Linked DNA regions of Mytilus edulis. The protein of the gene in region 2 purifies or fractionates together with the protein of the main gene of each other region. This does not show direct contact. Links are inferred from orthologs where the notes say so. Each region holds a gene or a part of one and is shown on either strand. Other genes may lie near its edges.

Evidence for each region.
Region 1: the proteins of cyclin-dependent kinase 7-like (region 2) and CDK-activating kinase assembly factor MAT1-like purify together in Drosophila melanogaster (affinity purification with western blotting; 3 studies listed by BioGRID, with this or other methods). This does not show direct contact. The link is inferred for Mytilus edulis from reciprocal best matches to the Drosophila melanogaster genes Cdk7 and Mat1.

Annotation. Positions count from the first base shown.
Region 1 is NC_092346.1:61,994,020-62,002,017, reverse strand, and holds the start of CDK-activating kinase assembly factor MAT1-like, read right to left. Parts: upstream 3,026-7,998; 5' UTR 2,983-3,025; coding exon 2,894-2,982; intron 1,957-2,893; coding exon 1,804-1,956; intron 1-1,803. Other genes in the region: tRNA (guanine(37)-N(1))-methyltransferase-like, read left to right, coding at 3,321-4,017, 6,203-6,391, 7,400-7,998.
Region 2 is NC_092344.1:104,148,605-104,155,581, reverse strand, and holds the start of cyclin-dependent kinase 7-like, read right to left. Parts: upstream 3,004-6,977; 5' UTR 2,939-3,003; coding exon 2,879-2,938; intron 1,018-2,878; coding exon 958-1,017; intron 596-957; coding exon 494-595; intron 169-493; coding exon 100-168; intron 1-99.

The DNA.
Region 1 (7,998 bases), on a different chromosome or scaffold from region 2:
GCTATGAAAACGTACGTGCAGATGACATATGTCAGAGTTTAAATATATGTTTTAATGTTGTTTTCTATCAGTTTTATTAGAATGGAGATAACAATATTGTATTTTGAGCTCTGATGGCATCAATTGGTGCTTTTATTGTCGCAAATACCCGTTTATTCTGTTAATCTTTGATAAATATATTCATATTTTATCAAATCACCAATTGATGCAATTGAAGCTTAAAATACAATACAGTTATCTCCTAATTATTAAAGTTAACACCATCTTCTGTCATGACTGTCTTCAATGGTAACTGAGAAAGGTACAACTATTTTAGTAGTACAGTTTAACTAATTAGAGCTTTCATTATTTACCTTTTACAATATAAAATAATAAGAATATTAATCTAAACATCCTGCAATTATCTAATCTTTGAATATAAATGTACAAGCATATGTAACAGATTCATGTAATAGAACCATAAATCTCTCTTCTTTTCTGTCTTTTTTTTTTTAATGTTGAGGACAAATCTTACCTCAGTGCATTATTAATAAACAATCAGGTGACTAGAAAGGGAATAGGATGATACTGCAATAAATGTGTCGTATATTTAAGAAAAGAATTATTCTAACATGACCTGCTTCTTTCGCTTTGTAAACAACACTGTGATAAAATTCTCGATACATAATAATGGCTGTTACAATATACTTCCCACGTAAATCTACATGTATTGGAACCTATTTGCAGACCCTTTGCCGATTTTATTGATTTAAAAAGTGCAATTAAAAAAGTCAAAATAACTGTTATTCTTATTCGGATGCATAATATAAAGCAGTAATGCAGAAGAGTTCGGAGAAATCAACAAAATAAAAGTCTATTAATTTTTTGGCGCATTTAAGTCATTTCAAAACATGACGTCATACAAATGAAACCGCTAAAGTTGAAAGTTTTCTGTTACGTGAACCATCGAACTTCGTATGATATTGTATTAAAACTGATTTTTGAGTTAGTTTTTGTTTTATTTTCTATTCTGTTGCATTATTTGCATATTTACTAATTTCAGTAAGTCAACGAAATACCAACTTTGGATTTGACGGAAGCTTACGGGAAAATCATGTAAATTAAAAATGGCAAATGTTGGGTTTGAGAATTAGAAGATTTAACATTTTTTTTTCTAGCGGTTATTTACGAAATAACCCATGCAAGCTACGGATTTTTAAAGATATTTGAGCTTTATCTAACAGGGAGTAAAAAAGATCAACCACACACACACCAAACCACCCCTAGCTTCAGTATTTTAATGACCGTATTTGTCCTATTAGAATCCATGAATTATTTCTTAATTTGAACATAGTTTAATGAAGGAATTGTTTTTTTAACTGAAAATTGGAATTGATTATTTGTATTTCAGATTGCAAAAGAAAATAGAATCTTGGTTGGGATATTGTTAAAATCTCAAAGCCACATATGTTAATTTTACTGATTATCTAAGGCAAAACAATCTTCATTTTAAGGTACTTTTAAGAGGGGGGTTGGATCCTGAAATCCCAGGCTTTAAAACATGAAATCCAGAGGTCCCAAATTTAAAGAAATTTAAATCCAGACATCCTGAAATTCGAAAAAAGAATTCCCTGATCATGTAAAGACAATGAAGGATCAATTCCAAAATACTGCGTTTGAAAACACCAGATCCCAGAGTCCCGATAAGGGTCTGACTGCCCTATTTTAAAGCTGAATTTGGAATCCAAGATGGAGATTCTGGCTCACTTTGACTGGTGCGTTAAGTTCTGATCTATTATATGATCATATACAATTTAAACATACTCTCTCAAAATCTTTTTTCGAATGTCTACTTCCTTTTCTATATAAGGATCTTCAAAGAGTTGTAGTCTAAAATTGCTTCTTCGTAATGCTGTACCACATTCAGGACAAGCTCCAGAACCTTTAATGAAGAGCAAGTCTACACAGCTTTCACATCTAAAATAGATAGGTAAATAGTCAAATATTGTTCTATACAACTCTAACATCTGTTTTACAGAATAGGATCAAATATTTTTATGTATTTGAAGAAGACTTAAGATTGGCTTTACTATATGCTCTCAGAAGTTTAGTACATCTGAAGTACATAGTACATGAATTTTTTTTTAATTCACATGCATGTATTACCAGCTTTAATTAACAATTTATAGTCTACAAATGTAGTATTTCAACTGTAAACAGTTCCTAAGATTGTCTATAATTGCTTACATCAACTTCATTTGAATTTTGTGGAAAGTTGTCTCTTTGACAATCACACCACATTTTTATATTATTATTAATTTTTTTTTAGTTTTAGTTTCTGATCTGCATTTTACTATAAAATTATTTCACACTAGAGTTCTTGTATATTTTTTTTTTCAAGTTAAAAATAATTTTATTCTTTTGCATTTAGTTTCTAATTTTTATAATGTTTTTTGTTTTCTTTTACAGGCCAATACTGATACTATAGTTTTAATGATTCAGTTTCCAGATCCAATGACATTGTATTATAAAACCAGATGTGGGTACACATAACCTAAGAAGGCCAATTTGTTAACTCATCACTCATGTGGGGTCGTGCAGACACTACTATAGAAGTACCCTTCATATCATCTATCTCCCTCTAGATCTCTCTCTCTTATTTTTTAAAATCTTTCTAGGTTTTCACAGATCTATCAACTTTGCCAGTCATTAAGGTCAGTGTGAGCTCAAGTTGTGATCACTTTAATCTTAATTGTAAATACACCCTGTAACTGAAACTTGGGTAAGCTTGTAAGTTGTATCTTAATAAAAATTTTAACTTTTAGACTTTTTAGTTTATATTTCATTATTGACTCAATTTCATTGAAGTATGGATTTTATATCATAAGGATTAATTTCATTATGTACAACATACAATGAGTGTCCACAGATATTAACAAGCAATTTCAATGAAGGATTTCTGTATTTAGTTGTTTTACATCTTGGACACCCTTGATCATCCATGCTGAGATACAAGGGAGATAATTCTAAGGAGACATCATTGAGACTATTTTTATAGACTTTAAAATATGATCTATATCATTGAGTTTGATGCTATTTCATATAAAATTTAACTAATTGATTTTGAACGATTTTAGTTATATGAAATTTAACTAGGAGTAACAAGATATTTGTCTACAAATAGGCAATGTATTATTATTACCTATTAGTAAACTCTCCCACTCTTTAGTAAAGAGGACCAAAGAGTATCAACTTCCTGTTGATATTTTTGCACGTTTCTCGATGCAGAAATGACAAAACGTCCTTATCTTTGAAAAGTTCATTACCAAATAATTTCATTCATGTTCATTAAACAGCTTTTTCATCGATGTATTCCGAGATTATCATCTATAGATTCCAAAAGACTTGTAGTTGTAAGAACTGAAACAAATGGACATAAATTTCTCCAAGTTGCAAGATACAAGTTTTTTGATAGAATACCTCTGATTAATTTACAGGCCATTTCATCAAATTTCTATGATATTTTCAACAATTTAAAATTTAAAATGGATAACATTGACTCTGAATCTGAGGTGTCAGAATTGTGTCCCCCTAAACATGTTATAGGAATGAAAGTTTTAGACAAATCTGCCTTCAAAAGGACTTGTAAAATTCCAGGCGTTAAAGTACCAATTAAAGCAATAAAACAAATGAGTAAATGTATGAAGTTATCAATGCTGAGGATGCCAAAACTGAAACCCATAGCAGATCTTGAAAACTTTGATCCTGATTTTAAATCACACAAGCTATTTCTTCTCAATCCATTGAAATACAAGTCACTAGACGATTTTAGCAATGAAGAAAAACAAATGTGCAATGAAGCCGACGTAGACTTGACAAGTTTTCAGAAGTATGATACAGAGTTGTGCTATGAAAATTGGACAGCTTCAGAAATTATTCCAGCTATCGTAAAAACAAATGTCTCTGGATTTTCCATTATAGGGCATATAGCCCATCTTAATTTAAAAGACGAAGTCCTCCAATATAAACATATTATAGGTAATGATAACTTTTAAAGCAGTTGTGGGAAAACTGTTAGTTTAGTAATATAAGTTAGAGAAAATGTTGGTTTGTAATAATTACTTCATGTACAATCATAATGCATGTCAATCACTAAATGACATTGCATTCACATTTTAGAACAAATGCATTGTGCATGCATATTCAAATGTATTAATGTACCTTTACACAGATACAATATACAGTTGGTATAATTTTTTTTTACAAAGACAAGTGTCTGTGTCCTTGTCCAATACTTTTTTTATATTGAAATCTACATGGTAGCTAATTTTAGTAAAAAATGTATTAATCTGCTATTACTAATAAAGTTATTTCTTTCTTAACTTAAAAATTGACAACTTTCCATGAAATAAGGTCGTGAGTACTGTAATTAAAAAAATACACATTTGCACAATGTCAGATGAAATAAATTTGACCATGTTGTTTGTTTTTGTTTACCATGTTTACACTTCTTTTTATTACATGAGGAGTTGGTGATCTGTTGTACTCGCTATTGTCAAATATTTTTAGTTATTTCCATCATCCCTTCTAATGTTTTTTGTACACGAAAAAAATGAAATAAACTACATTTTAGTTAATTAGAATAAGAGTAAATTGGTAAATATATATTAAACTCCCCAAAACATACATGTAGCAGTTATACAATTACAATAGTATAACTACAAAGTTTGTAAATATTTCAACCAGTTTCAATTACATTGTTGTAGATAAAAAGAAAGCTTAAGACTTGAAAAAAAGTTTGTGAAAATTGTTTGCTTTAATTTACTTGGAGACTCTTTTTATGTTTAAACAGTTAAAGTCAATTAACGCATGATTAATTAGGCAAGGATTAATGTACATTTTGAATTTGTAGATATATTGTATAGTATATAGACAGTAATCTTTTATTAAAAGCTGTATTTTGAACTCTAACTGTCTTTTTATTAAATTTTAAAATGTTTAGTTTATGGGTTAATGTCTGATTTAATCGGTGTTAAACTACATGTAGACAAGATCAGTTTCTTTTATTCATGTGAAGTAAGAACTGTATTGGAGAGTCCAGTAATTATTTTTTTTCTCCAGAAAATGTATACTGTAAATTCAGAAATTATTGCTTGCAGTTATTATTGGGATTTTTATACGACCACAAAAATTGAAAAATTTTTGGGTCGTATATTGGTATCACGTTGTCGTCGTCCGAAGACATATGGTTTCCGGATAATAATAACTTAAGTATAAGTAAATAGAAATCGATGCCTCTGCTGGTGGACTATTAGTCCCCGAGGGTATCACCAGCCCAGTAGCCAGTACTTCGGTACTGGCATGAAAATACGGATTTTATGTGTTATTAAAATTTCCTGTTACAAAATATTAAAAATTATTATAAATTAAGGAATGAATCTCCCTCATGCAAAGCTCTGATTCCTTTCACGGATTTGGCTATACTTTTTTGACCTTTTGGATTATAATAGCTCTTCATCTTTTATATAAGCTTTGGATTTCAAATATTTTGGCCACGAGCATCACTGAAGAGACATGTATTGTCGAAATGCGCATCTGGTGCAAGAAAATTAGTACCGTCAATTTTATTACTACCACTGGGTCGATGCCTCTGCTGGTGGACTATTAGTCCCCGAGGGTATCACCAGCCCAGTAGCCAGTACTTCGGTACTGGCATGAAAATACGGATTTTATGTGTTATTAAAATTTCCTGTTACAAAATATTAAAAATTATTATAAATTAAGGAATGAATCTCCCTCATGCAAAGCTCTGATTCCTTTCACGGATTTGGCTATACTTTTTTGACCTTTTGGATTATAATAGCTCTTCATCTTTTATATAAGCTTTGGATTTCAAATATTTTGGCCACGAGCATCACTGAAGAGACATGTATTGTCGAAATGCGCATCTGGTGCAAGAAAATTAGTACCATCAATTTTATTTTACAATAATGAAAACCTTGCAATAATTTCTGAATTTACAGTATCTAACTCCATTTATACTCTTAAACCTAACAGCACATGCATATGCATTCTCCTGTGTTCTGGTGAAAAAAATCAAATTCTGAGATAGAAAAGCATTTACTACATTACCTAAACAGAAATTTGATATGTTATATACTTGTACATGTTATGTTACTTACCTTGTATCAGTATGTTGATCTTTCTTCAATTTCTATTGCAGGCCAGGTTTTAATGGATAAAAACCCTTCAGTGAAAACAGTAGTAAACAAAACTGGTCAAATAGATAATACTTTCCGTAATTTTAAAATGGAATTAATAGCTGGGGAAGACAATATGATGGCTCAAGCAAAAGAACATGGATTTACATTTGAGTTTGACTTCTCAAAAGTATATTGGAATCCCAGATTGAGTAAGTTTTATGATTTTTTATTTGTTACATTTCCATGCATAATTTATGGTTGTACCAGCGACATGTTTTGGCATGCAGCTTACTTACAGATGATATATCTATTTTTTTTATATACAGTTGCAATGTACAAATATGATGTAATAAAAAATAGCTGAATGACAATTTAAATTCAATTTGCATAGATAACCAGACTGATCATTCACAAGGCTTATGTTTAGTACATGTATGATAAGGGCCTCTGGGAAACTATTAAACCATGATATTCTCTAAAATAAAGTATTGTTGCTGTTGTTAAGTGAGAAGTATAACTTGTACAAATAATTTTATAAACTTGATAATGTGAGTTATATTTTCTTGCAAAAGATAGGTGAAAGTTACCAAAGTGACATTCAAATGTGAATTTGTCGGTTTCAGATATCTCTTTAAAGGTTGAATTATCTCCCCTTAGTCTGATTGTCAGTTATCTCCTTTCTTGTTAAACTTTTCATATGGTTGTAATCTGTTATTTACATGTTATAAGGCAGTTTAAATAAATTATATGAAAGCAGTAATTGTGACATCACTGACTGGATATCCTATAAATCCATCAAACAGTAATTGAGCATGTTATATAGGTTGGTGTCTGTTGAAACATTTATACCCACTGCATTTATTGGCACCTGTCCTTAGTCAGGAACCAGCTGTTGCTCAGTGGTGGTATGTTGATGTAGTTCATAAGTCTTTCTCATTTTTTTAATATTTTTTTTTAGATTAAAATATTAAATTGTTAGTTTTCCTGTTTGAATTTGTTTTACACTAGACCTTTATAGCTTGCTGTTTTGTGTTGAAGGACATACTTTGACCTATAATGGTTTACTTTTTACACATTGTGACTAGGATGGAGAAATGTCTCATTGACACTCTTATCACATATTTTAATCTTTACTTAACCGACTCCCTCTCTAATAAAATGCACCCTCATGAAATTTTGATGATAACCAATATGTTTTATATGTTGTTTACTTGTAGGTTCTGAGCATCAAAGGGTTGTTAAAGAAATAAAAGAAGGAGATATTGTCTATGATGTTTTTGCTGGTGTAGGACCATTTGCTATACCTGCTGCTAAATCAAGGAAAGCTATTGTTTTTGCTAATGACTTGAATCCTAGTTCTTATGAAAGTCTTTGTAAAAACATCAAACTAAACAAAATTAAGACAGAAGTAAACTGCAGTAATTTAGATGGGAGAGAATTCATCAAGACAATAGTCAAACCTGACATTTTAAAAAGATGGAAAAATTATAAGGAAACAGAAAATAAGACAAATTTGAAAGTTGTTATGAATTTACCAGCTCTTGGTATTGAGTTTACTGATACATTTCAGTCATTATTTGTTGATATTGATGACAACATAAAACCTACATCATCTGATTTACTTCCTTATATGTATGTGTATTGTTTTACAAAGAGTGAGTCACCTGAAGCTGATGTGAAACAGAGAATAGAGAGTACAATAGGATCACCATTACCAGATAACTTTACCATTCATAATGTTAGGAATGTAGCCCCTAAAAAAGAAATGATGTGTGTGTCTTTCCATATGCCAGCTGAGGTTCTATTTAGACAAAAA
Region 2 (6,977 bases):
GCTCTCATAAAATATTAGTAGAAACAGTTGCCTTTTTGCTATATTTTGTATTAATAAAACAAATAAGAACACATAAACATAACCCTTAATTGATCATACCTCTAAATCAGTATCCATAAAATCAAACACTAAACTGACGTTTGATCTATGTCCAAATACATCTTGTAACTGAAATCAATACAAAATACAATAATCAAAAGCATCCACAAAAAAAAGCAATGTATTAATTTAAAGAAATGATATTTCATTGTTGATCATTGTTATAAAAGAATCTAGTTGTCTTTTCAGATTTTTTTGTCTCATTTACATATACAGTATATATTTTTTTTTAATTCATATTTCGTAAAAATAAAAAAAGAACAGAAATAGTCAATTGATTGATTGCTGTTTGCTAAATATGATAAATGTTGAATGCATATGCAGGATGATTTGTAATTTAAAAATTACATATATACATATCCATAGAGGTAAATATGAAAGTTTCACTTCTTACACCTATAATATGGTGATGTTTAAGTTCTTGTAGAAGTTTAATTTCTCTCAATGCTGTCCTGTTTATACCATCTGCAGCTTCCTCTCTAGTACCAACTTTTATCTGAAATGTATTTCACAGAGCTTTATCTTTTAGGAAATAAAAATTTAATTTAATTCAATGTTTCACACATCTAAATGGAGATTTTATTATATATCAATACAATATAGAGGTTGATTCATATGATAGGAATATTAATTTTTATCAGTAAGTTATTGTTTTTATTTCTTTTTTAGATTATCTACTATTAATAATAAGGCTTCTCAAAAAATGGACGGACATATGCAAGACTGTAGTCAATTTTTATAGTTATGTCATTTTGATTATCTTGTCTCATATTTTACGAAGTACAAAAAAATGTAGAACCATTTATATGTTTTTTAATATATGTATTAAATGTGTTGATACCTGTATGTACAACTGACCTTTTTCACAGCAACAATATTTCCCGTCTCAAGGTCTTTAGCCTTATATACTGTAGCAAACTGAAATAAAAAAAAACCAGTCAAATCATGGCAAAAATTAAAAAGAAATAATTGACAAAAGAGATATTAATGTCATGAATGTATGACACCTGAAGTAAGTGTTACCCACTTCTACTAAAAAATACAAATAATATCGAATAATGGGGTGTTTAAAATATAAAGAATAGAGAATAACAGGAAAAATTTATAATTATAGAAAATATAACATGAAAAATTAAAGAATACAGAAATGACCATGATGAAACCTCATCCAGAACTTTTCAAATCTTGTACAAAAAAAAATCGATGCCTCCCCCATCTGTTCAGTATAAAAATTTGACAACACCCCTGTTCCATTCTAAAAAAAGTTCAAGGCCACACTTAATTTCCTCCCACCTGCTTCAGGTTACATACATGTAACCAGTCCTTTACATTCTACAAATGTGATAGAAATGGTATGATGTCATTGATGACAAATGATATTCATGTTGTTGACTGTTGATGACTACTTCGATAAATTAGTCGACATATTTTTTTTTTAATTAGATGTCTCTTTAATTTATTAACAACAAAAATACTTAAGGATTTTCTAACCTTGTGTTGATCCCTTGGTCTCTCATACATGTATCTTGCAATTGGGTGCTTGATAGATATAGGGTTATTGCATGCAGAGCTAGCAATGATTTTCTTTAAACAAGATTATAAAATTAGATACTGGTTACAACAAGTAAAAATATGGACCAATTCAAGTACACTAAGTTTTTTGTTGTATTTTAAGGTTGTTTAGGACTTTTGTAATCAATAAATGCTAACACATAGAAAAACCAGTAAAATTTTATAACAAAAATATCTTTTTTTTTAAAGTCTGTGGATTTCTAAAAAATCTTGGTTTTATTTGCCACAAAATCACCCTTTTCTATTAAATGCAATGAACATGATGAAACAATAGGCCAGTTCCATTATACGGTTTTCAGACGAATCTGTCATGTGACTTCATCACCACATGACAAAAATGCATGCATAGAAATTTCAAACACATGTTGAGTAAACGGATGAAAAAGTTTTACTTTATACTGCACAAAATATTTGGGAAATTAAAAACTAAAAGGATGGTTACCCTCCCTCATTCATATGGCAATCACGATTATGTACTTACAGAACATTATTTCTTTACTATCTAAGTATCTTACAGAATGACAATTGTGAATGTGCTGGAAACTTTTAATATAGCAGGGATACAGGCGTGCCTTCTATCTTGTAAATGACGTTATAAAGGCATGGGAAATTGAGGATCTTTTCCGGTGAAAGACATGATTCCAGAAATGACCTATAAATAATGCTTTGCATAAAGTTTCCCTTTGGTATATGTACAAAATGGCTCAGCTCTATTATTCGTTGTTTATGTTGTTTTGATACTTAGGAGATAACTGTATTGTATTTTAAGCTCCGACGGCATCAATTGGGGATTTGATGGTCGCAAATTAAGTTTACTGGCAACGCGTTAGCGAAGACAGTAAATGAGTATTTGCGACCATCAAATCCCCAATTGATGCCGTCGGGAAATCTGTCATATGTCGTCTGCACTTGGGCGTACGTCCCATAGCATCAATTGTCAATTGATGCCATGTAAAAAAGTGACGTTATCCAATCAAAATGAACGTTACAAACGTTGTTGCATTAGAATATTGCATTTTGAAAATTTGACATGGCTAAAGAAATTGTCATAATCCTTATTTATATTCAGAAAATACATGGTAGGAAAAACATGAATTTTTAAAAAATCTTTTTCCTGAATGCTATTGAAAAAAATTTAGTTTGGGTAGAGATGGCATACAATCCCCTGATTTACGTTTCAAAAATATTATTTTGCCATCAATTCTACCTGTCCTTCTCCAAGAAAGTCAAGTTTTTCATATCTTTTCAACTTTTCATCAATGCCCATATTTTTAACAGGAAATGATCAAACTGTTGCAGTTTTAGAGTGCAATCCGGATAAGACCTTGAAAATATCCGAATTGGGAAGGTAACGTTTGTTTTAATCAGAGTGGATGGGGTTAAATGATTAAAGAATATAAATGCCCTTAGAAAATGAAGATTAGAGAAAAAAGGGGTTAATTTTTTGAAGAATAGAGAAAAAAGGGGGGAAAATTAAAAGTTTAAATACAGAATAACAGACCCCCCCATCCAGACCCTCATATATACAATAATGTCAATAATTTATTATATTTCTCTGTTTTAACCAAAATATTGTTAAAATGTTAACTGTATAATAAAGAGCAGGATATTTTCTAACGCTATTTGTAAAGGTTTTTTTTAAGGAAATAATTTTTAAAATAAGTAAAAAATAATCTGCAACAACAGTTAGATTTAAGCTGAGACTACTATAACACTGTTAAAGTAGTCTCAGATTTAAGAAAAAAAATGTCTGAGATTTTTTTTTTTAGTTGCATTCTATTAGTATTATCTTGAGAAATGCAGGAGCTAGATTAAAGGTGTAAAATTATGAAAAAAAATATAAATCAGCACAACAAGATCTATTAACCACAAAAATTTGAGAGAGAAAAAAAAACAGTAAACCAATTTTGAGAAATTCCCCTGCCTCATACACATTTTTCATTTTTTTTTTTTTTTTTTTGCTGTTATTTTGACAGCTGCAAAAATTATCGGCCTAATATGATCTGTCTACTCTGATATTTTTTACACCTGTTTTGGTGTTATTGTCCCTGTAAGAAAAGCTTTTAAAGTTAAAATTGGCTCTTAAATAAAAAAGTAGCCAGGTTTAATATATTTATTGCAAACATTATTTGCAGCACAAAAAGAGTAACTGAAGAGTGCGCAAATGAAGGTAAACATTAGCTATAAACTGATGGTGTACTGTTTCTCTCTCACCAGGTTAGGCATACAATCACAGGATGTGACTCTTGTTTTTCATCACCTAGCGTCCATCATCGGTCATCAACTAATAACTTTTACAAAAATTTTCTTCTCTGAAACTGCTGGACTAATAAATTTAACCAAACTCGACCACATTAAACATTGGGGTATCTTGTTTTAAGAAAATGTGTCTAAAGACTTTGCCTGCCAACCAATATATATGGCTGACAAGGCCAAAAATAGTGAATAGGAAGTAGAATGGAATTTTGTCTGATATTATGAAAATTGTTTATATGAATAGAGAAAATCTGACAGGGGCAAACATGCCTAGAATGTTTATTTATCACTACCAATTGTTAGTATACGTCTAAAGTGTCAGGTGACTTGTATAAGAGTTAATGCCCTTACATAACAAATTTTACCACCTTTGTTCTCTAGACTACATTTCTGCATATTATCTTGAAAGCTATTATATAAGATACAGATAAACATTAAATTGCGAAAATGATCAATAAGACAGTGCTACAAATAATTTGAATATAATGGTCAAAATCGTCAGTCGACTCTAGCTTAGAGTTATTGCCCTTTGAAGGCTATTGCATGAGTTTACCATTTTTTGCATTTTTGCCTTATAACTTAAAAATAAGATTTAGATAGAAAGAATCTTACATAAGCAAAAATGATCTGTGAGACAAAATTTATAATTGAAAAATTGAAAAAAAATGTCTGATGACTCCTTATTGAAGTGATCGTCCTTTAATGACAATTTTTATCATTTGTTTGCCCTGTGTTGTGTTTTAAACAGAAACTGAAGAAAATAGAGAGAAACTAAACAGATTAAATGAGTAGCAGCTCAATATCAATAAAACGGTGATTTTTGTCTTGAATTCTATTTTCGTTCAAAATGTTGGAGAGTTTCTTTTGTTAAATATGTAATAGACCAAGGTGAGCGAAACATGTTCTTTAGATATCTATGATTTGTAGAATAATTTGAAGGTAGTTGTTGGTTAAGTGGTTATTTTTTTATTTTTTATGATACATTTTTTTTTTGTGATAAGGTGATTTTCTGAGATATCTTATGGGTAAAACATCAGAATGAGTTCCTATCATTTGGTATATTGCCACCTTTAAATTTCATAGTAGAAATATTTTTAATCTCTGTGCAGGTTAAGTTTATTTGGTTTATAGTCTCATTACAATGAAAATGTCTTTTACGCATGGCTAATAGTGGATTGGACTTTGATAGCATTAATCTAATATTATTACACTGTTCCTGTAAATGGTTATCCTTGATCTAGCACGTTCTATGTACTGATTGAAGTCTATAAGTAAATAAATCAATTCTTAGTTTATTCTTATATGTTAGGAATTAAAAACAAGATTGCACACGGTGAAATGTCTTGCCCTTTTAGCTAACCATTGATTTTATGTTGGTATCCCTAAATATAAAGATTTATCAGGGCCGTAACTAGCCTCATCTAATAGTGAGGCAAAATATATTTAAAAATTATATATATAAAAAAAAAATTGACGAGGGGTTTGGGGGCCGCTCAAGGCCCCCAGAAGCTCTGAGAAAAATTACGAAAAATCGTGCATTCTGAAAGTTTCCCGGATTCTTTCCGACATTAAAACGCAATTAATTGTTTGCTATTTTTCGACAATAATCTGGTCTCAAAGCAAGAACATAGATTCATTGTGATTTAAGACTTTTAGGTTTTATGGAAAACATTAAAAGACCGATATGTAGGATAAAGCAAAAATCGTAATTCTCATAATCATTAATACAGGACCTGTCTTGTCTGTTCTTGTCTTAATTGTATTGTGCTTGGACTATAGTTATTTTTTTATGACTAGATTTAAATAAAGTGACAGATTGTACTTTAAGTAGTAGTACTGCTTCAGTCGACAATAGGGACCATCTTGACCCTGTTTTACGGTATTATTGGTTCTTTTATTGTTGAAGACCCTCCAGCAACTTTGACCATTGTCTTTTAGAATTTTTTCTATGCATTGACTCTGTGCGATTATGTTTCGTGCACATTTACTCCATATTCCTTTATTTTCTGTTAGAGGGTCTGAACATGACTTAATGCAAGTTAAACCCTTCAATAGAAAAGCTAGGTCATATGGCAATACACTATTGTTTTTTTTTACCAAATTATTTGAATCCGGGAAATTGGTGACCTTACTTTAATTTAAACCATGTCAGCTTTCTAGTTTTATCTACCCTAAAAAAAAAACCAGTTTTGTACTCTTTGATATCAAGTTCAATTCTCCATGCAGAAACGACAATTTTTTTCTGTGTCTTGTAGCATCGTATCTTCTTAAAATATTTTCTCGCACAATATCTGGACATCGGTGGGCATGAAACATTGCAAAACCACACGTTTACAAATGAAAATCAACACTCAGCTATAGTCACAAAGTAGGACAATAAATGAACAAATGACAAACCCGGGACAGTCACATAGAAGTACAAACAATAGACTATCAACTCTGAAAACTAAAAGTAAAATAGAAACATGGATCACGAAAAACATGCAGGGGCAGACACCAGAGAGTGAAGAGAACTTGCTTCTTGCTAGACACTTTCTATGAAATTAATTTGATATTAAGACAATCTTTTGTTTAAGTTTTTTTTTTTAAATTTCTAACATGAGGCATTTGTCTCATTTGCCTCAATGTAGTTACGGCCCTGTTTATTACAACTATCACATAAACTTAACATAATCCAAGAAAATGAGATCGACAAGGTCAGATAAACCAAACTAGAAATACATGTATACCTAACAATTGTAAGTGTACATGTCTGTCTGACCTTGACCTCATTTTAATGGTTCATTGTTCAATATTAAGTTTTCCTGGTTTAGTTTTTTTTCTCTCGATATATCACGATGTTCAGTAGGTCAACTATATTTAAGGAATGATTGTAATGTGTATATGTATTTCTAGTTTGGTTTAAGGAAGGTGCACATGCCTGTCTGTCAGGATTCATCTGACCTCATTTTCATGGTTCATTGGTCGTAATTCCACACTCCTAATATGCTTTAAATATAGGCGACCTATTGCAAAAAGTATCTAAGAAACAAACTTAACCAGGAAAACTT